Linked DNA regions of Medicago truncatula. The main gene of each other region encodes a partner of the protein of the gene in region 2 in a complex. Links are inferred from orthologs where the notes say so. Each region holds a gene or a part of one and is shown on either strand. Other genes may lie near its edges. The genes, in order: 50S ribosomal protein L28, chloroplastic; 50S ribosomal protein L27, chloroplastic; 50S ribosomal protein L21, chloroplastic; 50S ribosomal protein L31, chloroplastic.

Region 1 (6,591 bases), on a different chromosome or scaffold from region 2:
CTTGTCATCAATGGAAAATTAACTTTTATAAACTAGATGTGTATTAAATCATTCTCAAGCATGGGTACTCTTAAAAATACGACTTGTAAAAATATGAAGTACACAATACCCGTGTATGGTACTCGTGGTATTTCAATTTTGTTCATTATTTAATTGTGACTTTCTCTTCTATATTGATATGATAATAAAGTAATATATGAATTTTTGTTGTTGTTCTAACCAACACTAATTTTTTTTTTTTATTCTTTTTTAACTTTTATTGTGATGTTTTTGTTGTAAATTGAAGAACTTAATTGTCTCATGTTATATTGTATAACAAAACTCATGATTCTTTTAAAGTACCCATACCTTAAAGTTTTTAGAAATTGTTGTATTCTCGTACCTGTATGCGTATCGTACCAGGTACTGTACCCGTACCGCACCTATGCAACATCGCTAGATTATAATTGAATGCAAAATGTAACATTGAAGGCTGAAATTCCCAGTGCTACGGTCCAGGATAAATGTTTAGGGGATGATCAAAGAGATTTCCATTTGTAAGATTCATGACATAGTAAACTCACAAACTTCATATTTGTTTACATAACTCAAGTTGCTTTTGACCATAGCCAGAATCAACCCCAGTCCCTAAAAATAATACAGAAAGAAAATAAATTCTACAACAAAAATTAATGAACATGGATCCATCCTTTTACTCAATTACAATCATAATCTTGTTCTCTCATTTCTTACTGAGATCAATTCCAGCCTTTTTTGCAACTGCATCAAGTCCATTCTTCTCTATGGTTTTCAACGCCTTAGTTGACAAACGAAGCTTTACAAAGCGCTTCCCAGCTTCCCACCAAACTCGCTTGTACTGGAGGTTTACAAACTGCAATTTCTTTGTCTTATGGTTTGAAAAGGATACTTTGTTGGCCCTGTTTGATTTCTTTCCGGTGAAGGGACACACCCTCTCTGAAAAAATAAAACCAAAGTATACCAAGTTAAATTGATTTACAATAATAATAATAATCAGGATTTGCAGTAGCATCCTTTAGACAATGATGATGTAGTTTGGCATCAAATAGCAATAACCAAATGTGTTTTTTTTGGGTGAACCCATGGTATCTCTAACTAAGAGCCAAAAACTTATTATTTAATGGATTGACATCTCATAACATATGTCCTTCTGTGCAAACAGGTCTTAAACTGAATCACTAACCCCATTTTTAACACTAATCATATAAGGTAACATATGTTATATACAAACAGGTCATGTAATAAACTTCTACCAACATGCTTAAAAAACTCAGTTATAGGTAAATCGTACCGCACCATGTTATGCATGTTCTGTTATTCTCTTATATATAAAAAAGAATTGTTACTATAGGCAAACATAAACTAAGAAGGGTATTTATCTGTCACTCTATCGATGAAAGCTGGAGTAAATATCAGTGCAAAACTTCTCTGTCCGCAATAAAATATGAAAAATATTTATTAACCAACAGCAATATGTTACTTTTTAAATAAATAAAAAGTACACAAACCATAGTTGGTCACTTAAAGGTAGCCATTTCTTCCCTATCCATATTGTTATGAAAATAAAAGGTTTCCAATTTCTATTAATCTGTTCACTTAACACAAGATTCAACAAAGAAAACTCTTCCTTTAATATACCTAAGACTGAAACAAATATCACTTAATCACATTCTACCAAAAAACAAGGAATTATTGCATAAAGACGGTGATTACTGGAACAACTTATCAGAAACTCAATAACATTAAAGTAACTTCAATAAGTGCTTATGATACAAGTATTACTCCCGCAAGAAACAAACTAGTATGTAGCATTCACACTTCAAATTGAAGACGTGTCACGTGTTAGAGTCAACACTGGCACGAAATCGACAAAATTTAAGTACTTCCATTCTTTAAAAATTAGAGCAATGACACGAAATCGACAAAATTAGAGAAATGACATGAGTTAGTGTCAAACACCGGCACAACATCAATAACATTTTATAATTTCCATTTATTAAAACATAAACTAGCAACAGACCCGTGCTCCACACGGTCCGCGTGTCAAAACGCACGCATTTGTTTGTATATCACACAATTAGATTAGGAAAAAATTAATGAAAAATATGACATTACATTAAAAATAAAAAAAGATCAGAAGAATTGTTAAATTTAAAAATGAAAATGTGGGCAGCACACTATACATATACATAGTTCATAACATGGTGAAAATGAGAGTGAATATGAATTATTGGTTTCAATAACTTACTAGCAACAATTGGTTGAAAGGGAGAAGCAACAATTGGTGTGGGCAATTTAAGCGAAGTCTGAGACGAGATTTTGAGACCGCTTAACTGAGAATTCAAGAACCCTAATTCTGAAATCACAAAAATTATATAATTGAACAACACAGATTTAGCAAAAAATAAATAAAAAAATGAAATTGAGATGAAGTTAGTTAAGTTAGTTAGTTACGGGGTGAGAATGAAGAGGGTTTGTGAGTGTTGGTTGATGAAATTGAGCGCATAGAAGCGAAGACGAAGGTGTTTCCAAGTGATACTGCAGAACCCGCCATTGTTCTTTCTTTTCTTTTTTCTTCTTCTTATCCAACCCAATCTTATTTGCCTCTTCTCAAATTATCTACCTTCAAATAATTTGTTTTTTATTAGGAAAATAGATAAATGATCCTTTTTTTTTTTTTTTTTTTACAAGAATCTCTTATTTATAAATGTTAATCCGTCAAATTATCCCATTAACTATATTTATGTAGAAAAAGTTTATTATTGTTGTGATTCCACCATTTTTTTTTTAATGAAAATTCAAATAATATATCTAATCAATATTCAAAGTACAAGATGTGTCACTGTCAAGAGTGAAACCAAATTATTATAGAATAATGCGGGTAATTTGTATAAAAAAGAATAAAGCGGATAATAACAATATTCAACTACCAAATAAAGCAAAATAGTGCAAATTTCATGCCCCAATAACATCAACAATCCAAAAATTAAAATCTCAAACATTTAAAATATCATAATACCTCGAAGTTAAAACTATTTTCCTTTGATATGAACCAATATTGAGATTAATTTTTCAACATAATCGAAAGGTTGAGAAAAATTTACACCAAAATAATATTATTTATCACTTTTTATATAATTCAAATGCAAGATAACTAAATAATTTTTTTTTTCTTTTTTCTTTCTTTCAATAACATCTTCCTTATAAACTTAGGCAACAAAATTGATACGCATAATCCAAAACCACATTAATAAAAGTGTTATGAATATCCAACCAACCAAAATCAACTCTCCACACTAGGAAGTGTAGGACATTTATCGAATAGATAAGATATGTTGTGTAGATTCTTCAAAGGGAGCTTCTACGGTTCAGTCAGGAAATTGATTTTTTTGAAAAAGTTAATTTTGATTTTAATGTTTGATTTCATTTTTAAATTGTTGATTGCTGATTAATAATCAATAGTAATTCATCTAGTAATGCTTGCAACATCTTGGATTTACAGGTACTATTTTATCGTTGGAATCTTTAACATGCATACATAGTTGATGATATTATGTGATAGTTTTAAGTGTTACACTTTGTGGGGTGTTACGCTTATAACAAGGTAGGATAAAATTAGATTAAGTGTAGTCTTGTTAATCTGATGAATTGATGATACTACGATGACTGAACTTTTGATGACATTGTACAAACGGTGGGATGTTACTCATTACATTTTTGATGTTATAGTGTTAATTTCACCAAAAAAGTCATTTTTATAACTTCACCATAGAATTTTCCTTCTTCAAACCCACGTCCCTGCACATATAATCAAATCCAATAGTTCTTGTGAGCTTAACTCAGTTGATATGAACAATGTATAATATATGCAAGGTCCGAGGTTCGAAACCCGGCCACCACAAAAAAAAGACATCTAATAATAAAATTATTTATTTTACACAATTATCTTTAATAAGAAGACGATTAGTTAATAACCACCGTTTAAAGAAAAAGACTTTCATCAATCATTTTGTTTTAAACTAGTCTCTCCGTTTCAAAATACATGTCGCAATTTTACAATGTACACTATTCACATAACTTACTCTGACCAATTTTTTTAAATAATATATAAATACAAATATTAGTATGTAAGATGTTGTTTGATTTGTTTCGATGAATATTTTTTAAAATATTAAAATTTTAATTTTTTTATTATATATAATTAAAGATATTAATTGTCAAAGTTGTGTATTGACATGTGTGCAATGATTGACTGCGACATGTATTTTACGTCGGAGGAAGTATCATATAAGAGGATGATTTTTCACCTCTAAAATTCCACATCGGTATATTGTAAGCTTCTTTAACATAGCATTATCTATTGCCTAATGCTACTTATCTAGACAGATTTCCTCACGAATGATTTACGTACGACCTTGTTTTTACTCATTATTTTTTCCTAAATTATAGCACCATCTTACTTGTTTTGTGGCCAGGCATAGAGGTGATTGGTTAAGTGTTATTCGCTGTACCATCGGGATAATTTTTATCTAGATAAATAGCAGTGCTCTTATTTATTATTGTGAACGGTGTTCCAATTTCATCAGTCATTTGAAGTAACCTTAGAAATTTTCCAACAAAGAAATACATTCCTCCACAAAACAATTCCCTCCGCAAATCCCAAACACCACCATCACCATCAGACCCCAACACCAAACGAAACATATCGGCAACTAAAATTTGATTATATGACATCAAAATAAAAACGAATTCTACTAAATCAATCACAATGCATTGTAATATATAACGGTCAAGATTGGAATCACATACGTCCCATTTATTTATCTTAAAAAGTGAATTCTAATCATTAAACTATTTGACAAAAAAAATCGATCACAATAGAAAACCACCCGTTTGGTAATTTTTTTTAATAAATTCAATAGTGTATAAAAGTGTTCCAAGTTCCAACCACCCCATTGGTAGAAAAACAATCACAAGCTATGTACTCCACTGTTCTTGCAAGCTATGCTCTTGTATGGATAGACTTGGACCTTTATTCATTCTTGAATTGCTCCACAACAGGCTGAGACTGTTTGTCAAAGTAGAAGTTGTGGTCAATGAAGCTTTTAGTATGCTGAGACCCTACACCATGCAATCAAAATATGTTACTAAAATGAAAAGCTATACTAAATGAGGAAGTTTCATTTCATGTACTGCCTTACCTCTTTCCTACCAATTCTGATGACCCTTTCCTCCACATCATTAAAGGCAACCTTCATTCTTTCTAGATAGGAAACAACAGCAATGGATGATAACGGGGTCACTACCATGTCGTCTGTCACGATGAAGGTAATCGGTCCTTTGACATATCCTCCAGAAATAGGGGATTTAGGATCAATAAATTTATATTGTGTATAATAATCCTTATATTTGGTATCTATCGGTAATATTTGGTTCCTGAGTTCAAATTGCATAGGAATCGGCGGTTTAGTTAGTTTCTCTTTGAGATTTTCTGAAATTATGCATCCGTCCGAACTCAACTCAATCATGCTTTTGTATAAATTATCAATGCAGCTTAACAAAGAGAATCCTTGAAGCATATGCAACACTCCTCCTAAGGGGAAGGTTAGAAAACTAAAAACAAAGTCGATAAAATCATCTTGCGCCTCTAGAAACAGAATTTGTTCATTTGATTTTCTCCTCAGTACTTTCACAACCATCTTGTCATTAATTTCATCAGATGATTCATCTACCTCTCGAATCCAAAATTCCGACCGGTTTCTTGGGTCTAAATTACCAACAAACTGTTCCTTTTTATAGATAAAGTCTGTCAAAGGAGTCTTTGAGACCAAAGATAACTTTAGAATATCAATTACCTATTCAAAGCATAGATTAAATAATTAGAGAGGGAGAATAATCAACGGAAAGTACATATACGATGTACATACTTAGAAAACATGCCTCTTTCTTGCTGATATTAACGGTTCGTTTATCAATAGTATCAATGTCATTGACTCCATGCTTCTGACAAAGATTTAAGCTTGTTCCAACTTCATTCGCCAACACACAAAGATCGTCAGAAACGATAAAAGTTGAAGTTTCCTTGACAAAACCGCTTTCTTCAATTCCTTTTAGGGAATTTACGAAACTTTCTTGGTTCAATAATTTTCTACAGATACATTTTTGATTCCTGAAGAAGCTCACACAATACCTATTTTCAATTTTGCAAGTCTTGTCCTCGCAGTGGTAGTACCTCAACGGCTCTGATTCATCGATATTGAATTTGAGTTTCCGGTAATAAAGTCCCATGGGAACCCTTGGTTTCAGTAGCATTTCTTTGCAAGTTTTATTCCACAAATGTTCTTCTCCAAGATCCGATACACTTTCGTACAATGAGCTCAAGCTTCCAAATTTCACTGCGTCGATATTTGACTCCTTAGCCGCAAGTCTTGCAATAGTCCCTAAAGGAAATATTAAGAAGCTGAAAAGAGTATCAACAAAATCCTTCCCTGCCTCTACATATAGAACTTTGTTCCTTTCTCTATCCACCATAAATCTCAAGCTAACTTCGTCAACTTGTTCAACTAACTGAGT
Region 2 (7,830 bases):
GGGAAACTAAACATCAACTTAGGTAGCTTGTAAAGGTGAAATGTGAGTTACATCATGTAAACAAAGCAAAAGACCATTTCATTTACTCAAAAAGAAAATTACACACCCAAACAAATTGATAGTGAATGGCTATACTGTCTTGTAATTGGTTTGGGGACACTAGGGAACAGTTTTGGCCGTGTACGGTACAATTTTGCTGCCAGAAAACAAATACAATATTACAATGCTAAAGGTTTCCCAGATACACAAAAGAAAAACAACTGAAGACAGCTAGATTTTACACAGTGAAGTGAATGAAGTATAGAATCAACAATCTGGATTCTCTATTGCGGTATCATCAACGGAAGCGAGCATTAGCTGTGGTTGAAAAGCTCTTCTTTCTTTAGCAGCCTTTTTGCGTTCACGCCTCATCTTGAAGTACTTTATCTTCCTTAATCTATAGCTATCGGGGTTCGGAACCCGTTCTTCTTGTGGGTAAACACTGATCTGTAATATTTTTACAACTTTATTAGCTAGTTAATTTGTACTGTAGGATTACAGGTCATATACAGAAAGCAGTGAAAGACTATTTTTTACCTTTTTCTTGTCTGGTCCATATTTCTCAAATTTTACAACTCCATCAATTAGGGAGAAAATGGTATGGTCCTTACCAATCCCTACATTCTTTCCTGCGTGAAACTTCAAGTTTTGCAAAGAAAAAAATATTAGAACTTAGAGAAACAGTAAGTTTCATGATAGGACATTCACATTACAACATCATTAGATGCATTTAGCCAAGTCTATCGGAAAAAAAAAATACTTTGGTTGTTATTGTCAGAAAAACAGCAAGGCAATAAAGATTCAACAATATCTTAAAAACTGCTACAACAAATGCACCTATTTACTATATTGTGTGTGCCTGTAACAACCTTATCATGATTTACTATATTCTGTGTGCCTATAACCACAAATACAAACTCAATGTGAAGGTTTTTCAACTCTCAGCAACCGCATCGCAACAGCAAAAAGTAGCTACATTGACCGTGTTTTTTCATGTTTTTTTCCATAATATCCAGGATCACCACTAACCGTGATTGCGATTTAAAAAATTGACCACATTATTTCCATAATAGCATTTATTACAATCAGTATAGAACAAACATGAGAAGTTCTTTCAGTCAGTATAAAGTGTGCAATAAAAGTTGTGGAATCGCTTACAACTTTACCATACTGATAAAAAACAATCGTATCAATGGTGATATTGTCAATTACACAATGCAACTCAATTATTCAAAAGACCTTAATCATTCTTAGTTCCCTTCATATGGAATTCTAGGCTCTAGCATATAAATTGCAAAAGTAGACATGTTTTACCTGTTCTGATTGACCTAAACATCTAAGGAAACACTTATTAAAAAGAGACAATATCTAAGAATTTTTAAAATAACAAGTTCTTATAGAAGATGAATTCTGTCATTTAACTTGACTTAAAAAACCCATAACAAAGAAAAAGGGTTTTTCAGTGACTAACCACAACAAAAAAAAACCCATAACTAGAGAGAACAATAAAAACTCACTATTTTTGCAACTCTCACTCTTATAATTGCATCTTGAAATTAATGATATAAATCGGCAAAATAGTATAATTGCCAACTCACTCTCTTTGGATGTCCGTCCAAATGTCAGCGTAGGACTTAAAAAACGAGTGGTGTCAAAGCGTACTTACGAGTAAGCTATGAAGAACGAACTCTGACACTGACACCTCACGGACACATTGACAATGCTAATTTTAAAAATATAGGACAAACACTGATACATACATATTTATTTATTTATAATTATTAAATAAGATATGAGCATTATTTATTAAAGATCTAAATCGAGAACTAAAATATATATGTACGTCTAAATTGAGCCATTTGGTACAAAGTTATTAAACAAAATATAACAAATTTTCACCTCATCCATCCATTCATCTACTATACAGAAAAGTTAAAAAAAAAATGATATCTTCAACCCCTTCATTTATCATCACTACTTCAACACAATTTTAAGCCTCATAGAAGTTTACGAGGAGTGTCGAAGGAGTGTAAAAGTGTGTTGAAGCAAATAATTTTTTTGGGGGACACATGTCGTGTGTCGGACACAGAGACCTTAATGACAGAGGTGTCTGTGCTTCATAGTCTCATATATCAGACTCAAATGATTAATTAAAACAAAAATGTGACATTTCGTAATTGATAATTTGGATATCAAAGCAGAGCAAGGCAGTGTCTGGTTTTTTTTTTTTTTTTTTGGTAGATAGACGAAATGGCAAAGCCATTATAAACTCACACACACAAGTGGAGGTACCGGGGTTCGAACCCCGGTCATGGTATCAGCCTAACAATTTCGGCATTTGTCAGATGAGCTAGGACTTCTGGATGGCAGTGTCTGGTTTTAAACATGCCAATTACACCAATCTATAATCCTTTCTTTAATTCTTTCTATAAGCTCTAATTGAACACAAACTACACCAATTTCATTTTTTTCAATTCACCCAAAATATAATTCTTAACGACAATTAACATGTTCATAATTTCATAAATTCATATGACACGTCATTTTTTTTTTGTCTAAAATTTGAAAATGGAATAGAGAAACTGATTATGAACACACCTTGGTTCCACGCTGACGAACAATGATGGAACCAGGTTTAGCGACCTGGTCACCATAAACCTTAACACCGAGACGCTTTCCGGCCGAGTCACGGCCATTCTTGGTACTTCCTGCTCCCTTCTTATGAGCATTCCGGATAATCAGTGCTGACCGATGATGAATTCGAGGGAGAGATACTGATGGAGTCATACGAAGAGTGGTGGAACCTGATAAAAAGGAAGATGAAGATGAAGAAGAGGGAGAAGAGAGAGAAAGTGATTTGAATGCTGTTGCTATGTTGAAACCCATGCATACAGCCATGGTGGAAACTGCTGGGTTGTCTGAAGAAGTGAGAGATAAGACTCAAGAAGGGATGAATGAAATGAAAATGAAGGTGGATAAGGGGAAATTTGGAATTTAATTGATTTTTTTTAATATTTTTGTATATTAATTTTTTTTTCTGCCATTCAAAAAAAAACATTATTATTTTTTTTCTGCAGCACATTGATAACACATCACATCTTCTATAGATACATTTGAGAATGTTTAAAATGAACGATACATATGACATCTCAAGATCAAATTTAAAAGAAAATTTACATGTGGCAATGTAAGGTTGAATTATAAAAGTCATAGTTCAATTACACAATTTAAGACAATTTTTTTTAATGACACCATTTATAACATACTAAAGTAACAAAGTATAATCAACACATAAGAATCAACCACTGTCCACCAACGATGCAAGAAGCAACCACGATGGATAAAATATTTTAGGTATGATGAACGATACTACCGTCAACACAGAGCATCTACGCACCTAGCCCTTTCGAGGAACCTTAAGATAAAACCAGTCATGTTGAATCGAGATATGCATCCATCAAAGAAGCCAGAACTAAAGAACCCATATCTTCAATCCAAAAAACCAGATTCGAGATTTTTAGACAAAATCACAGAGCCGAAACAAAGTCACCACCCATCTTCATTTCCACGAAACAAAACGAAAACAAACGCCAATAAACAAAAATGAAAAAAAAATAGCCAAAAACAGACTGAGACTAACTCATAATCGCGTCAACACCATAGCTCTACAAGACGTCGACGATGTTGAACGAAACCAGTGACCACAATAGAATCAACACACACCAAGACTCTAAAAGGACAGCCGCTGCGGCGCTTCATCGACGACAAACTAAAACCCATAAATATATTTTTCATTTATACACAAAAACACGGGATATATATTTACCACTGATAAACATAAAAACATGTGACACATATTTGTCATCATTGTGGCTAAAAAAATATTAACATATTATTTTTAACAAAACAATATTGACATATTTCAAAATTCACGGTGCATAGATGCTTTTCATCAATAAAAAAATAAAAAAATTGAGATTGAAAAATAATAGTTTATCACTCGTGCATTGCACAGGTTAACACACTAGTTATACACACACACCATTGAGTTTGTTTTTTTGTTGATAAAATGCACACGATTGAGTTGGAATTCCAGATTTCACACTCATTTACATTTTTTTTGTGGTGGCGAACCCAAACCTTATATATATTATGCATTGTCTATATCAATTGAGCTAAGCTCATGACAACATTAAATGTGAATTTATAATAACTAGATTATTTGATAAAAAATAATTGATTTTTATTTTAATTTTGCAAAAATTAATTGAATATGGGCTGTAAGAATACACTTGGTCTAGTATTTTGAGTAAAGAAATTATTGTGATTATCACTAAATTTAACATTCTATTTCTTAAAAATGACATCCATCGTTTATTTTCATAAATGGAGAGGATCCTTACTCATTTATTGATGAGCTTGTATTTAACCCGTTGGTTGACCAAATTAAAACTAGATTGTTAGGGTGGACGAATAAAAACTTGTCTTTTCGAGGACGTATCATTCTAATGAAACCTATCATGCCTTCTCTTCCGATCTATTTTTCTTCGTTCTTCAAGGCTCTCACATGTATAATGACCTCTATACATTCTATTTTAAAATGTTTTTTTCTCTTCGGAGGGGGCAGATTCTAGAAAGATTCCATGGGTCAGTTGGGAGTCTGTTTGTTTAGGTAAAAAAAAAATGGTGGCTTGGGGATTAGGAGGATGAAGGAATTCAATTTAACATTGTTAGATAAATGGTGTTGGAGGATGCATGTAGATAGCGGAGGGTTGTGGTACGAAGTCCTAGCAACCCGTTATGGTGAATTTTTGGGGGTAACTTTTGGAGGGGGGAGGGATAGTTCTGTGTGGTGGAGGGATCTACGAAAGATTTGTGAAGGGATTAAGATGGGAGTCGGAATTTGGTTCAATGATAACCTGAGGAGGGTAGTCGGTGATGGGGTTAATACCTTCTTTTTGGTTGGACACGTTGTAACACCCCGTTTTTCCAACATATAAATAATATAAAATAAATCAGAGTTCATCGCAAACAGAATGTCACATTTCGTTCTTCAAAATATCATTTAACACAAATAGAGTTAAATTCACTATTTATTTAAACAACTGCTTTCAATAATTCAAAATAATGTCGCAGCGGAAATATTTAATCTTTAAGCATTACTTGGCACTGAGGCCTCAACATCAACAACATATATAAAATTCACCTAAAAGTGGTAAAACATCAAATTATAAGAAGATACGTAACAATGGTAAATAAAACACATAAGAATTCCCATCCCGTTACGTATCAGAGCATGACTCCTATGACGACACAAGAATTCAACTCACATCAGCTGTTACTCCTGAATATCTGCACGTTACCCATATAGAGGTAACATTCAAACAGAAGGGGTGAGATTTCACACTCGATAATAATTAGCAATAATTCATTTAAAATAATTTAACAACACAAAACATCAGCAATTCATCATTAACAATGCTTCACATAAGTCCAACTACAAATCATCAATTAACTTCGCTCAACAGTGCAACGACATGACTCATAAAATGCAATGCAATGCAATTATGCATGTGGTACCAACAGAGCTACAACTCCCTTCGCTAATGCCGTGATTCGGCTTTGATAGGCTACAACCCCCTTTCGCTTAATAAATCACCAATACAGGCCATCGTGGTGCCAATCCAGGCCATCGTAATTAAAATGAAATGATTATGCAATGACACAATTAAAATGCAACAACAACAACATCAACTTCGCATCACAATTTCACAATTAATCAACATTATTCTTCGCAAATAAACAATAATTTCATTCAAACACTTATAATTACGAAACTCAAGCATGCATACCTTAATTGAACCCCTTAATACTCAAGTTTGAAGTTTAGAAACCAAACCATAAGTATTGGAATGACTTGGAAATAGTTATGCTAAATTTCTTTAAAATTTCCCCAAGACCTACTTGAAGTGTTTTCATCATAACTCAAAATCCACAAAACATTTTCAAGTCAAACTAACGCCATTGGAAAGATAACATAATTATCTAAAACCTTCATGTTTACACCAAAGCCAATTCAAATCAGAAAAAGGGTGAAAAAGCACAAAAACTCAAAATACGAAGTCCTGACAGCACGCAAACGAAGGCACAATAAAGCAGTCACCCATGAGGGCTGTCTTGCTGCGCCCAGGCGCTGGCGAGCTGCACCCAGGCCTGGTCAGGCAGTAGCTAGTGACATGCGCTGCAGCTCTGTACAATCCTGGTTTTTTCCCGGTTTTACCATTTCACACGTAAAAACTCAACCGTTAACCCGATTCCAATTCCGTTTTCGCCTACGCGTTCTATTCAATAAATCCTATCATATTTTACTGAAAAATCATATTTTCAAATCTCCAAAACAGCTTATCCCAGAATCATTTATTTCCCAAAAACACTTAAAATCACTTTTATTCAAAATCTCAATTTTTGACCCCATTCGATCCAAATTTGATAGGAAACATTACCTAGGGTTACTCTACAACCTAAACAACAACTTTCAAATTAATTCATTGGATTACTTACACTTTCAAGAATCAAATTGTAATTCAAAACCCTAATTTCTTTAACATCACAATTATCAACAACATCAAAGTTAGCCCCTTTTTCAGAATTATAGAACTCATATTAAAGAAGGTTAGTCCCACCCTTACCTTAGATTGGATGAACTTTGAATTCTTTAAGCTTTCCCTTGCCCTCTCACAATGCTCTTCTCTTCTCTGACTTCTCACTTTCACGTTTCCTCCAAAAACTGTTTTACGTGTCTGACTCTTCTTTTCCTAACCTCTCCTTTTTCTTAACCTAACACATTCCCTCTTATTCCAATTTTGCCCTTACTGCCTCATTATTCTATTTAATTTTATTCCTTCACTAATATTACTATAATAAGCTACTAATATTCACCAACATATAACACAAAACATCACACATCGTAATTATTCACATAAATTATTCAAAATGACACTAAACTCGATAAAATAACTAAATAATAAATTAGGGCATTGCACACGTGGGTGTGGGCGACCCCTTAGCATGAGATTTAGTTGGTTATCTGAGTTGTCTGATAACTTGTTGACGACAATCGCATATATCTATTAGTTGGGTTGGGGTGAGGGGGGGAAGTTTGAAAGTGGAGGCGGAAGTTGTTTGCATGGGAGGAAGATGTGGGTAATATAATCCACTTTAGTCTCTTAAAAAAATTAATTTCAATTCATTACAAGACGAAAAATTACAAACACAAGTATAGTTTGCTTCTTGTCAAGATCTTTTAATTTTGGGTTAAAAATAGGGGTGTTCAAAACCGAACCAACCCAATAGAAAAACCGCAAATCAAACCAATCCAAACCAAAACAGCAAAAAACCACACTTGGTTCGGATGAATTCGGATGACTTTTGCACTGAACCGCGAGGTTTGGTTCGGTTTGCGGTTTGCATCTCAGCTACCGAACCAAACCAAACCAAACCGCAAGAATAATGAATGTTACTTAAACATGTACTAGCCCAATTACATAGCCCAAGAATAATCTCTTTTGATTCGATTTTTCCATTGTTGCACCATCAGGTTCAATTCTAATTCCTTTCCATCTCTTTTAATTCATTTCCAGTGATGAATTTGTTTCCTTTTCTTCCCAATAATTTGTTTCATGCTTATATTTCTTCTTAATTTTACCTATTTTGATATAAGTTTTACCTAATATTTTATCATATAAACAACAAAATAAAATGCCCTATGTTTATTTTGTAATAAGTTGGCAA
Region 3 (7,937 bases), on a different chromosome or scaffold from region 2:
TTGCATTTGATCCATTTTGTCGGCGGTTTAGCCCAAGTTCGATCAACAGTCTGCACATAAACATTGAGACGGTGGCACCACATATAATATTGAACCGTATCTAAAGCTAAAACACAAGATGCTTTAGCGTTAACCAATTTTTGTTCCCATAAGCATGTATTATGAGCACACCAAATACTCCATAAAATAGCCATAAATCGTGAACGATCTTCCACATCAAGAGCTGCAAGAATGCTAAATATAATAGATGAAAAACTACCACTTGATGTCATGTGTGGTCTCTATTTTTAAGTAAACTCATATGTAGAATTCATATTATTGAATAAATTTTTGCAAAAAAGTTTAAAATATTATAAGAATCTTTATTAAAAAATATTAGAAATTTTTTAACGAAACATAAATTAAATATGAATTTTAATATTTTTGGTGGTTAAAAATTCATATTTAATTTATGTTTTGTTGAAAAATTTTAACTTATTTTGAAAGAGATTTTTATAATATTCTACACAATTTTATTAAAAAATAAAAATGGTACGACTTTAAAATAAGGACCAAAATTGATAATTGACAATTTTATACGAGTAAATGTCGAAAGAAATTTTTAGAGAAAATAAAATGAAAATTTGATATATTTATAAGGACCATAAACATATGAGTCATGTTAACCAGTGCCCCGGGACACTAGTTAGGAAAACTAAAAAAAGAAAGTTATAAAGTGAAAATAACACATTTTTATGTTTTTGAGGAATTGACAATGCAAATTTCAATGTAATACTTACTACTACCTCCGTCCCTAATTATAAGACCCTTTTGAGAATTTTTTTGGTCCCGTTTTATAAGATTCATTTGCTATTTCCAACTACATTAGTTATTTATTTACATACCTGCCCCTATTTATTATACATCTTTTTCTTCAATCAGCAAAAAATTGCATATGGAAAACATAAACTAACTCTCTTTCTTAAGGATAAAATTGTAAAAACAATAGTGTGCTCGTGATTTTCGGATATCAAACCATTAATTGATTTGAATCGTTAATCTTTGAACTCTCGATTTTTATTCGTGGGAAGGGAAAAAAATGAGTAAAAACCCTTAAGACTTTGGATTCGGGGGTTGGTTACGCGAAGGGAAGGTGCTAGCACCCTAGGCGTCTATGGTATTTCATAGGAACCTCTTACCTAAATTATCTTGTGCTAAATTGATTTGCTTATTTGAAAATTATTACCTAAAAAAATCTAAGTGAAAGAATGGAGGGAGAAGAAGTATATTTTTGGTTATTTTTATTTGATTTTGAAGGATTAACTCCTTTGCCTATATACCCTTAAAGAAAAGGGATCAAAACCAATGTAGTTCACCTAAAAAATTTCTTTTTGGTGGGTTGGATTGATTTTAACAATTTTGTAAAAAAAGATTTTAAGAAGAGATTAGAGGCCTCAAGGCATGAGAGAAAAATAAGATGAGGTTGGTCAAATTTTAATTACAAGAAAATCAAGTCTAATATGAATATTAAGTCAATTAAGCATTTGATTAAGAAAGTAAAAGGAAAAAAACACTTGGGTTACCAACCAAGGTTTATTAAGAAAATATTTCTGAAGTTTTGCATATTTGATTTTTTTAAACTAACGGTGAAAACTAACGTAACGGCGTAACGTAACAAGAAATAAATGTCAAGTGTCGGTGCATGTGTCGGTACATATTCTCATATGGATATTTACAAGGGACCTATATACATGCTAAAGCCTCAAGAGAAAATAAACGACAAAAACAAAAAAAAAAAATAAAGTGCACAAATTAAATTATATCAATTCCTAAATACATACTAAAAATTAATGACAAGAAATTAAAATATGCATGAAATGATTCTAAATAAAATGCAGATATAAAATAAAACCATAAAAAGAGTAAATAACAATTAAAAAAAATCACAATATTTTTTTTGGAAACTTTGAAGAAAATTTTTTAAACAAAAGAGGTGCAAAAAGTGAAAACAGTGGTGACAATAGGAAAACAATAGTGAATTTTAAAAACAGTGGGCTCAGACTGGACAAATCTAGACCGTCTGATTAATCAGAGGATCCAGATCCAATCACAGGAAAGACTCATCACAGTCACTGGATCAAAGATCCAAGGGTTAAAAAACAGCATAAAGTAGAGAAACAACACAAGAAGCACAGTGACTGTCAGATCAAAGATCTGACGGTTTAAACAGCAGGCACACAGTAGACCGCAGACAGACAAACACGGATGGAACACACAGTAGCCATCAGATTTTAGAACGATCCAGATCTGATGGTTCACAGCGCGAGGGATCACCATAGAACATATACGCGCGTGTAGGAAACAGAGGGAGTATATAAAGGGAGAGACAACAAGGAAACAACACAAAAACATTTATCATTCTAAACTTAGAGAGATTCTCTCTCACTTCTCTCTAAAAACTTTTTCTGGAAAACGGAAGGAGGAAGATGAATCTACATCTTCTCCGGCGAGCTTCGCCGCTCCGGCGCAGTGGTTTGCCGGCCCAACAGGGCGGCGCGCAACAACATGTTATAGATCTGTATTTGAAATCTCAAAAAAAAAAAATCATACTTTTTTCAAAAAAAAACGACGGATCTAGACATCCTTTTCTTTCTTGTTACCAATTTCAAATTTAGTTTTCGAAAATGAACAGCAAGCATGTCTAGATCTACATCTTTTATTTTTTTCAAAAAAAAAAAAAAAGAAACGAATGAAGAAAGAGAACGAAAGAGGAGAATCAGTTACCTCTTTGGATCGGTTAAGATCTGGAGATAAAAGTCTTCGGAAAACTTCAAGTGCCTTCTTCTTCTATTCCTTCACGTGAAGCTTACATTAGATCAAGATTCGTTGTGTTGTTGTAATACCAAAATTGTTGTCGTTTTGAAACGATTTGAGAATCGGTGATGTTGTTCTTGCTCGAAAAATGGTACGATCTTGGTGGTTATATGATGATTCGAGTTGGTTGTTGGGGAATCCGGTTCAAATCTATGGATTTTTGTGATTATTTGTGCTTGCTGGAAAAATCTAGGTTCATATGTTCATGATGATGTTCACGATGAACTTCATGATTTTTTGCAGTTTGATCTGGAAAAGAGAAGAAAGAGAAATTTTTGGTGTTTATAATTAATGCTGCTGAAATCTCTGACGCGTTTGACATTGTGCAGACTTTTTATTGTAAAAAACTAGGGTTTGAGACTGATACATACCAATGACGAAAATGCCCTCTACTGAAACTTGGGCAAAAAGAAACCCTCAGGACCAATAAGAACAGGACACATGGACTTAGACTTAAAGAAATAAAACTAATAAAATAAAAGCAAAATAAAATAAAAAGAAGAAGAAGAAAGTCACTCGTGACTCTTCTTTTTGGAAGGTTAACAAAATAAAAAAATAAAAAGAAATAATAATAAAATTGATAAAATAAAAAGATAAAAATAAAAATAAAAAACTGTTCCTTCGAAACTAAATATGGTACTTTAAAGTAACCTCCCTACCGAAATTTTGATCGAGACGACTAGAAAATACGGACCAACTTTTAGATGTTTATCGTACAAGCGGAAAAAGAAATTTAACTAAAACGGAAAAGGGGAAATTCATTTATATGCGAATACGCGCAAAAAGATTTTAATTACATACCGGTACGGATAAAACTTTAAATGCCTAAAAAACGAACAAAGTGGTTTTTAAACGTACAAAATGCGAACAAAACTTTTAACTACTCAAAAATACGAATAAGAGATTTTCACTACTTAAATCGTGACTAAAAAGGTTTTGACCACTGAAAATTACAAATTAATAACGATGAGCATATTTAACTGATTGAAAAAACGAATGAAAAATATTTTAACCAACCAAAATACGAATAACAACGTTAACTACTTAAAATATGAATAGAAATATTTTGATGAGCTAAGAATATGAATAGAAAGTTTACCTGACTAAAATACGAATGAAAACAAATTGACTATTTTAAAAAGCGGAAAAAATTAATTGGTAAAACTTTAGGGTATGACAAATAGTAATTACAAACAACATTAATACAAATACACACTTTCTTAATTCCCGTAGTTTTAGCAAAAGAGTCTTATTATATATAGGGACAAACGTAGTACATTTGATATCTTAACCAGTGCGCCCCGGGACACCGGTTAACATTTTTCCAAACATATTTAATCCAAATATATACTCCCTCCGTCCCGCATTAGATGACTCATTTGCAGATGTGTAATTTTGACCTAACTTATTTTGACCATATTTTTCTATTAATATACAAAGATAAATAATATCATATAAGATGTCGTTAGATTTGCCTCGATGAGTATTTTCAAAATATCAAATTTTTATAATTTTTTCTAATATATTATTCAAGATATTTAAACTCAAAATTATGCATTGATATGCGTAATAAGGTCAACTGTGTCAAGTATTAAGGGATACAAGGAGTATTTTGTATTATACTCTTCTTGTCTCATGTTAAGTGACACAGTTGACCTTGTCACACATACCAATACATAATTTTAATTTTAAATAACTTCACTAATCTTTTAGAAAAAATTATAAAAATTTGATATTTTAAAAATATTCATTAAGACGAATTCAATGATATCATATATATATATATATATATATATATATATATATATATATATATATATATATATATTCGGGGAGTGGTTATGGTGCATAAGGAAATCCTTATGCACCGTGCATAAATCCCAACATAATTGTTTCCTACACCCCCAAAGTGAGCCAAAACCATTTTTGTTCAAAATAAAAGAAATCTGATAGTTGTGATGTGTTTATGCACGGTGCATAAGGAAATAACTTATGCACCATAACTTTTGCCATATATTCGTACAAAAATACGGAGTTCAATAATACCCATCTTCAAATGGGTGTCATCGTAGGACGGAAGGAGTAATAAAAATGAATAAAATAATAATAAAATTGGGTTTGTAAGAGTAAATAAATGGATAGGATGAAGGAAGAACATAAAAGGATAGAGTTGAGAGAGAGAGAGAGGAAGTTCTCTCTTCTTCAAAATGGCTTCTGCAACTGCTTCTACACTTTCAACTCTCTGTTCTTCTTTCACAACCCATTGCTCAATAAAACCTCATTTCTCTATTTCTCATCAACCTTTCTCTTCTCGTTTTCCTTCTCACAACCTCTCTTTCCAATCCACTTTCTCACAACGCTTGCCTCTGTTACCCGCTCCCAAATCCACTGAATCTTCTGTCGCGCCTGTTGATTCTGATTCTCAAGTATCGGAGTCTGAATCCTCTCAAATTGTTCAGTCTCCTTCATGGGAGAAGGGTCTTTTTGCTGTTGTAATGGTGAGTTTTTAGAGGATTTTTTTTAATGTTGAGTGTGGATTGGGTGACCCTTTTGTTTCAATTGTTCAAAAGTTGCATGCTTTATGTATAATTTTTAATCTAGATTGCTCTATGGGTGAAGGCGACGCAATTGAGTTTGCATATTTTTGGCTCTATGACCATGGTTTTATCTATTTTATATGTTTAGTCATTCATCTGAAATTATTTGTGATTGAAGTATCGCACATTAAAGATTAGGAATGGTTAGTAAAGGACCCCTGGAGTTTGGCCGAATAGTAAGTCAAGTCTGGCCAATGATTGTTCCAACCTATATTTTTGAACTTGGGTTCTCCCGAATGATTCGTCCTTAATTGAATTTATTAATCATCTAAGCTCAATAAATTAGTTAATAAAAAAGTTAGTTTGGATGTTTAAACTGTTTTTTGTATTGTTGGACTACTTCCAGTTTGTTGGGTTGGTAAATAGGTATTTGCTGTTTATTGTTTTGGGGTCTCTGTCTCAAATTTTATGTTCTGTTCTTTTGCTTTTTAATATTTTCTTGTGTTGTTTTGTTTAGATTGGTGGGCGCCAATATATTGTTCATCCTGGCCGCTGGCTTGTTGTTCAGAGGCTCAAAGGTGCCAACGTTAACGACAAGGTATACAACTTGTTTGTTCTTAAATTCTGCCATTTGACATGTTCCACTTATTCATTTTTGGTCTTTTAGTTATGCAGTATTCGTTAAACTCATTATTTTGTTCTATATGTGATTGTTAACATCACCAACCTTTGTTAACATCACCAACCTATTATCACCATTTGCTTTGCACCCTAAACATTGCCTCTAAAATTGCTACCATTTATTAAGTAATGTTAGCTTGCTCATACAATATATTTAAAACTATGGTCGGCCTAGGTATGATGCGAGTGCTTCCTGCTCCCTTTCTGGTTTCGTGAAATTGACTATCATTAATGACCTGAACTATGGGTAGGACCTATAAATATAATATAAAAGGGTTCAATGCAAAAGTAAGTTATAAGAAACTAGGCCTAAAGAGGTATTTTAACCATATGATGTGAGAAATGAATGATTGAAATTATAACCATTGGTTTTCAAACCAATGATTATAATTTGTCACTTTTCCCTTTGAAGCGATTTCTTCCTTTTCCATTATCTGAACATCTGCTGTTATTTTCAAAGCGTTTTTTTATGCACTGTACATTAATTTTAACTCTTGGAATTGTAGATCGCCCTGCATAAGGTTTTACTGGTTGGAACAGATACATCCTGCTACATTGGCAAACCAGTGGTAACAAATGCTGTGGTATATGCGACAGTGGAAGAGCAGGTACTCTTCATTCTCTCTGCTTTTGTTCTCCTGTTAGGAAAAGCTAAAAGTAAAATACATCTCCTACCTTAACCATTTTGTTTTAATGCAGGGTTTAGACAACAAAGTAATTGTATTCAAATACAAAAGAAAGAAGAAGTATCGTAGAACTATTGGACACAGACAGGTATATTAGCTATCCTTTTACTTTGCAATCCAATTATTTATCAAAACTTTGCGCGATTGAAATGTCTATATGTGGCTTGGGAATTAATTCTTATGAGCGAATTATCTTACCCTTAAACTTTCTGAATGGAGCTTAGAAATATGGGAATCCATGTTGTATATATGATGAATGTATGCCTGTAGGCACATGAGGCTTCCATGTCATTTTTTATGAATATTTAGTTTACCAGAATTTGATGCTTGATTTGGTTTTCAACTTGTGACAGCCAAATACACGCATCCGGATAAATAGCATTATGGGCTATGAGGACTACCCAAAAGTTACCATGGACGATATAAATTTGGAATCATCATGAACATTTTGTGCGCTATGCGAGTATTGTATCTTCTTTCATCTATAATAACTATTAGCAATCAATTTGCCATGGTTAGTTTTGCTTTTATCATGGATGGAGTTGTTTGAATGTTTATGTAGCTATTGTATGTCATTGTAATCTTTTGTTTCCAAATACATTGCTATTTTCCAGTCTCCAATTATCACTCCAATTCCTACTATGAAGAGCCTGTTTACTTTGAATGTTACTTTTTCAGTTCTCTTTACCTTGCATAGAAAGATTTGTTGGAACAAATTTAATTTGAAAATGTTAATCATTTTTTATTGGTCCCTTTCATCTAATCGGAGGAGCAAGCATATCATATATTTTGAAGTATTTTGTTTTTTAAGTACACAAGCAAATTATAGTCACTCCTTGGACCGGATACCCGAGTTTCCAAAAAAAGAAGAGTACAAGCAATTACGTTTTCATCTTTAATTCTAAAATACGTTGAGATATTGAATTTACTTAAATCTAAGGTTAAGTATATTTTTATCTACTAAATGTTCACTGTCGTGAACATTTTTATTTAACATCTGATGTAGGAGAAATTCTTGTATAGTCACAAACCCAAATTGAAGTTATTTAGGCACACACTCATAAAATACATATCATTTAATTATTTTAAAAATACATATTATTTAATTATTTTCTCTTTCATACTTTTTAAATTCATGTGAGTGTGTCTAGATGAGTTTTATTTATGTTTGTGTCTAAGC
Region 4 (6,213 bases), on a different chromosome or scaffold from region 2:
AGATTAGTGAGACCTATTTTAGAGTTTTGGAGAGTCGTGTGGATATTTAGAAAAATGTAGTTGGGTGGTTTAAATAATTGGAAAATGTAAAGTAATATAAAATATTATGTGAGACCCATTTATACTACTCATATGGGTGACATGGATGTGAGTGCTCTTAGTTACGTTATTTTGTGAATCATGATTCAAAAATATATATTGTGAATCATAAATTAAATGAAATAAAAAATAAACTTTCAATTAAAAGCTTTTTTTTATTTTATTTTTGATAAATTTAGTAAGCTTTGATGCATTTTTGTTAATACATTTTTTGGTTCGAAACATGGTTAAAAGTTAAAACATTAGGTTGAATTATTTTTTTTTAGGGACATTAGGTTGAATATTTTATTTACATTTAATTTGACTGACTTAAAATTTATTTTGGTCCCTTATTTTTTTTTATTCACTATTTGGTTGTTTCTAAGTTTGAAAATATAATCTCAATTTTCAAAATTTTGAAAATGTAAATACAATCCACCATTGAACTGGAGGTATTTTTAGGTGACTTGTCAAGTTGAATAAAAGAATGAGCTGCCATGTTACATTAGTGGGTGACAATGCACATGCAAGTTGTTTTATGATAATAAAATTTAAAATAGAAAAACGAAAACCCCTAAAAAAAACCAAATTCACCAACAAAAAATGCATTTGTCACCTCTCAAGTTAAAGATATTAAACATCCCTAAAAAAAGTTTAAGATATTAAACATAAGATCTAAGAAAGAATCTGAGGATTTGATAATAGGTCAATTGATTTAATAAAAGATAAAGAGTTAAAAGTCCATTATTCAAAAAAAAAAAATATATAAAAAGAATGTGAGGTTTTGATAGGTCCATTGATTTAATCTAAATGATAAAGAGTTAAAAGTCTTACATTTAAACTGGAACGAAAAAGAGTAAATATTAATCTAAACAAGTAGTATAATACGTATAAGTTTGTAATTTCTTTCAGTCAGTTTGAATAGATTTTCCATTTTCGGGAGAATAAACCTTCCTAACCTTCTACTAACGACCTTTACGTTGAGCACGTTACCCACCAAATGGTTTTGTTTCTTTATTGTTTTATTTTATTTTATTACAAACTGGTTTTTTGTTGTTGTTGAGCACGTAACCTACCAAATGGTTTTATTGTTTGGTGGTTAATGAAGAAGACTAATAACCGCCGGTAATAGCTGATTTTTGTTGTTGTTGAGAAATCCAGCAACAGCTGATTTGTCACTAATTCATTCGATAGATGTAGATAGAATATAATCCAGTAGATAATCTCGCACACGTTTGACGACTTGCATATGATATTGTCGCTCGAGCTAGTAAATGAGTTACATTGTTGATTTTCCTTCTAATAAAACTTATCATAACGTTTGGAAAAGATTGCATAATAGTTTTACGAGCATGCTAAATTTTGACATGCTTTATCGTTTATGCCGTCTATAACTAGCTTGCAACCTAATTTTATACACTCGAGTATAACCCAAATTCATAAGCCAAAACAACGCTTGTGTTCAACCCACATGCTTGCGCCTCTTGAGAATTTGGTTGGCTAAAATTCTAAATAGTTTGTGCTCGTACACAATTTCTCTTGTTGTCCGAAAACAAAGATGTCGACACCGAATGTGTTCTTGTCTCTAAAATTAGTCGCATCAACATATACTTCCTCTAGTCACACAATACATTTAGTATTCACCAAACTTAAAAATAATTTTTGCTTATAAATGTGTCCGGAATGAATAATTAGTTGTTTTTTGTGTCGATATAAATACTTGATTTATTATTATTAGGAAGCCTTAATCCTTAAAATTTAACTAGTTGAAACTTGAGAAGTTTGAATGGTGGGCTATGTGCTGCATTTGAAGTTGGTGGTTACAACTTACAATGTTGGAATTTTAGTTAGAGAAAGGAATGCACAGTAGTAAGGAAGATTTAAATATAACGACAGTGACACTTACAATGTGGCGACGATGACAGCTGATAGGTTTACAAACAAACAAACAAGGATTTCTAAAGTTAGCACATATTTTTGTGATGTTCGTGTTTTTCTTCAAAATCACAATGGTTGTTGTCACGTGGTATCATCACATACACCTCACAATGTTTTGAGTAACAAACGACCATAAAAGACTAAAAAAGGAGTACTGTTCCCACACTAATTTTAGATGGATTTGCTTCGTATAAATTTAAGTCACTACCTATCACGTTGGTCTTTTTTTCTTGGCATTGCCTATCAAATCAAATTGGATTAAAATGCAATGTCATGGGGATTTAGATTTCCCATATTAAATTTAAGACACGTCAGTTAATGTCGACCGTCCTATCTCAAAGTAAATGGGATAGGTTACTTAAAAATTACTATTCAGCTAGAGAAATATAGTTAAAATGACGGTTTAAGATTTCATATTTAAAAATAATTTTTAAAAAATTAAATAGTACATTTTTTAATGTGTTGAATATACAATTTTTTATTAGAAAAAGTATATTATTTAAGGTTTTTGAAGAGTGAGTACTCGGATAATACCATTTTACATCTTCCTTAAAAAATAATTATTGTACTATCTATATATTGGGGGAAAGAAACAATATGTGGATTGGACAAGAGGACATACCACTACATAAATTTCGAAAATAAAAATTACATCAATGTAAACGTTAATTTTCATTTATATTATCCTTTCCAATTTTTTTATCTTTGCTGGAGGAGGAATTAGAAGAAAAAAAGTGCAGGGGTGTTCTAGGTCATTTGTGGGTCCCTTCAATCCGATGATCCATACAAGTTTATCAGGTAATTTATTTGAATTCATTTGAGTTTGGATTCAACTCAATTCAACCCACTCAAATTTAAAGTGATTTGGATTGGATTGTTGTTTATGTTTTCAAATACATGAATTCACAAATTTGACTCATTCAAATAAACTTTGATTTTTTTTTTTAGGAGAGTAAACCTTGAGTTTATTATATATAGATTAAGGCTTTTATGTGTTAGTAAATCATAATGGATAACCAACAATATCAAAACAATAGAAAGAAAAAGTAAAAATATAATATAAATATTTGAAAGAAAATTATCACAAAAATGATCAAAAAATAGTTTATATAAATATCATTCATCTATCCATATTGACATGTTTGATTGTACATTCATTACCTTTTTCAAGGGTACGATGTAAAATGGTTTTCCAATCCAAAATTCAGGAGGATAAAGTAAAAATAGTGAGAAAACAATAGAGAGATAAAGTAAAAATAATGTGAGTATGAGAGATAAAGTTGTCACAAAAGTTGTCATTAAATAGATGTTCAAATATCATTTCTCTATTGCAGAAATGATATTCTAACAACCTAGGTTGTTGTTACGACAACATATTATTATACGGCCTAGGTTGTTGTCCACTTATTTTTGGATGTTCATATATCACTCTTCTTTTTAATACTACATATTTTTCTCGACAAATGTATTTTGTGGTTGAACTTTGATGGCGAAATATGGGATGCTTATATGATATCTAACTTGATTTTATGGAAATGAACTATTAAGTGAGAACTCACCTAGACATTGTTTTACATCAAAACTGTTTCTTTTGTGATATGGATTAATGACGGGGTGTATACGAACCGGTTTTTAAGGATGAGTTAGGCCTCCAATTTCATTATGGTATCAGAGCCTGTCGAATTCAAGGGCCACCTACCGATTCACGCACCAAACCCAAAGAGTGTTGGGCGTGACAGGGGTGTATTGGGAAAAAAAATCCATGTCCCACATAAGATATATAAGACTCTTGGTAAAAGTTTATATAGAGGAGACAATTCTCACCTTAAGAATCAATTTTTAAGGATGAGTTAGACCTCCAATTTTATTAGATCGTGTCATCAACTGAGTTGTCAGATAAGCATCTCATTTATCACATCATCAAAGAGAAAATTGGCGATATAAAAATAGGAGTACCAAAATCGCAAAGAAGGCAAAATGGAGAAACCAAAATGAGATTTAATAAAAAAAAAATAAAAAACTTTGTTGTGCATGCGTGGTACCACATTGGATTTGTCATGGTCATGATTAACTACTGTAATTTTTTTTACTATGACTACGGTAATTTTTAAAATATACACTTTGTGTCTATCTATTTAGAAAAAATAAATGAAAATCACATTAACAAAACACATCTATCAAACTCTTTACTTTCTATCTTATTAAATGTAAGTCAAATTCACACATGTACTCAAACATGCTATATTTAACTTGCAAAATGACGATAACTCATCGTGATTCTGAAAAAGCCACGGTGTCCCATGATATGAAACATGCATGTAATCATAATTTATAATTATGCAATAAATGTATATATACATATATGTGGTCTCACACATACCATACATTATGATTAAAGTTGCAGTTCTCACATCCATTGTTTTTTAGAAACACATAGAAATGACAAAAAAAAAAAAAAAACAGTGGTAGTTAACTAGCGCTGACTTCAAAATAGAAAATCGGTAGTAGTTAACTACCGCTGAGTTTTTTGGTCATTTACTAATGTCTCTAAGAAACAATGGATGTAAGAACAACAACACTCCATCATGATTTCCTAATGGGCTTATTGGGCCTCATGAAATGAAAGAAAAAGCCCATTTTGAACTACAAACAAGAACAAGAACATATGTCCACACCACACAATCTCAAATTCTCATATCTAATCTCATCTGCAAAAAAATGGCGCAGTGCATTACCAATACCTTTGTTCAAGGAAAACCATTCCTTCCACTTCCCACAAAAAACGTAGTAACCAACCACTTCCTTAAAATTTCCAATTATTGTTTCTGTATTAAACTAACCAACATGTTTTTTTTTGTAGTTGCAGAATCAAAAAGGAAAAAAAGTGGGCAATTTCGGAGTGTATTGTAAGAAGAAAGACATACACCCAAAATTCCATGAAGATGCTAAGGTTTACTGTAATAACGAGCTTGTGATGACAACTGGTGGAACCCAGAAAGAGTATGTGGTTGATGTTTGGTCTGGGAACCATCCATTTTACCTAGGTAACAGGTCTGCTCTTATGGTGAGTGATGATCAGGTGGAGAAGTTTCGTAAGAAGTTCGGTGAATTGTCACAGATTATGGAGATTCCTGTGCTTAAAGGTGAGATTGTTATTCCTTCTAGACGTAAAGGGATTAAAAGTGGTGGAGGGAAGAAGAAGTGAGTTATTTGTGTTGGAATTGTAATTTGATTGTATGGTGTTTGTTAAAATGTTTCTATGAGTTTTTGTTTTGTATTTTGAATGATTATTTATTTGATGTTGTTTTTGTTAGTAATTCATGTTTGGATTGTTGCGAGATTGGTATAATCACTGTGAGCCAATGTGATTTTGGATAACCAAAACTACATTTTGGAGCTTCGGAACTCGTTGTGAATCCAAACATACACTTATATGAGAAACAAATATGGTTTTGGATTCCCTATTGTCTGCATTTACGCAATCATGAATCTCGACTATTGAATTGGATGAAGTTATATTTTAAAGAAGATTTCTTAATGCTGTGTCTGTTTTTCATCCAATGGTTGAGATTTGTTGGCTGTTGTTGTAATGTGTGATTCTTTCAATTGTAAAGAAACATGGTTTTTGATATATTTCGAAAGGAACTTGCATGTTGTGTATGCTTTTTTAACAGGCAAATGTTATTAAGCTAGTTGCCAAGTTAATTTCTAAGGATCAAACTCTGAACTTTGTGCTTAAAACTAATGAAGCGTCCATTAGTTTACTAATCGGGCTATTTAGTTGAGATGTGTGGTGTACGATTCTAAAATATTAGAAACTTTGTTGAACTTGGGTACCATTTGCTACTGCAAAGAAAGTACGGCCACAAAGCTTACCTTTGTTTTAATTTTATCAATTAAGAATTGAGGAGGGCAATGAGCACTATCTTTCTAATAATGACATCTCTAACACTCATTCTTTTCATTTATTGGATGAAACCAATCTCGGTATCATATTTTGAAAATGAATTCCACATAAAGTGATGAACCCATATGAGTTATACTTATACTCGAGTGTTAAAAAAAGAGTGTTTCTAACTTTTATCTTAAGAATTAGACGATGCCTTAATTCTTGGAGCTAAACTAGTTAAGGGCGTGCAAAAGGAGTTATAGCTATTATGCTTGAACCCTTAACTATGGTTGTGATCATCTATGAAT

The links.
Region 1: 50S ribosomal protein L27, chloroplastic (region 2) and 50S ribosomal protein L28, chloroplastic share a complex: the UniProt entries of both Arabidopsis thaliana proteins name them as parts of the 50S ribosomal subunit. The link is inferred for Medicago truncatula from reciprocal best matches to the Arabidopsis thaliana genes RPL27 and PRPL28.
Region 3: 50S ribosomal protein L27, chloroplastic (region 2) and 50S ribosomal protein L21, chloroplastic share a complex: the UniProt entries of both Arabidopsis thaliana proteins name them as parts of the 50S ribosomal subunit. The link is inferred for Medicago truncatula from reciprocal best matches to the Arabidopsis thaliana genes RPL27 and RPL21C.
Region 4: 50S ribosomal protein L27, chloroplastic (region 2) and 50S ribosomal protein L31, chloroplastic share a complex: the UniProt entries of both Arabidopsis thaliana proteins name them as parts of the 50S ribosomal subunit. The link is inferred for Medicago truncatula from reciprocal best matches to the Arabidopsis thaliana genes RPL27 and emb2184.

Annotation. Positions count from the first base shown.
Region 1 is NC_053042.1:15,739,769-15,746,359, reverse strand, and holds 50S ribosomal protein L28, chloroplastic, read right to left. Parts: upstream 2,634-6,591; 5' UTR 2,573-2,633; coding exon 2,473-2,572; intron 2,375-2,472; coding exon 2,267-2,374; intron 955-2,266; coding exon 722-954; 3' UTR 510-721; downstream 1-509. Other genes in the region: uncharacterized protein, read right to left, coding at 4,996-5,139, 5,220-5,873, 5,959-6,166, 6,251-6,591.
Region 2 is NC_053044.1:6,288,312-6,296,141, forward strand, and holds the start of 50S ribosomal protein L27, chloroplastic, read right to left. Parts: upstream 3,018-7,830; 5' UTR 2,938-3,017; coding exon 2,638-2,937; intron 679-2,637; coding exon 577-678; intron 487-576; coding exon 307-486; 3' UTR 1-306.
Region 3 is NC_053042.1:47,104,917-47,112,853, reverse strand, and holds 50S ribosomal protein L21, chloroplastic, read left to right. Parts: upstream 1-4,996; 5' UTR 4,997-5,060; coding exon 5,061-5,351; intron 5,352-5,907; coding exon 5,908-5,988; intron 5,989-6,577; coding exon 6,578-6,679; intron 6,680-6,770; coding exon 6,771-6,845; intron 6,846-7,110; coding exon 7,111-7,200; 3' UTR 7,201-7,421; downstream 7,422-7,937. UniProt on the Arabidopsis thaliana protein: This protein binds to 23S ribosomal RNA in the presence of protein L20.
Region 4 is NC_053042.1:7,238,601-7,244,813, forward strand, and holds 50S ribosomal protein L31, chloroplastic, read left to right. Parts: upstream 1-4,647; 5' UTR 4,648-4,734; coding exon 4,735-4,800; intron 4,801-4,876; coding exon 4,877-5,221; 3' UTR 5,222-5,687; downstream 5,688-6,213. UniProt on the Arabidopsis thaliana protein: Binds the 23S rRNA.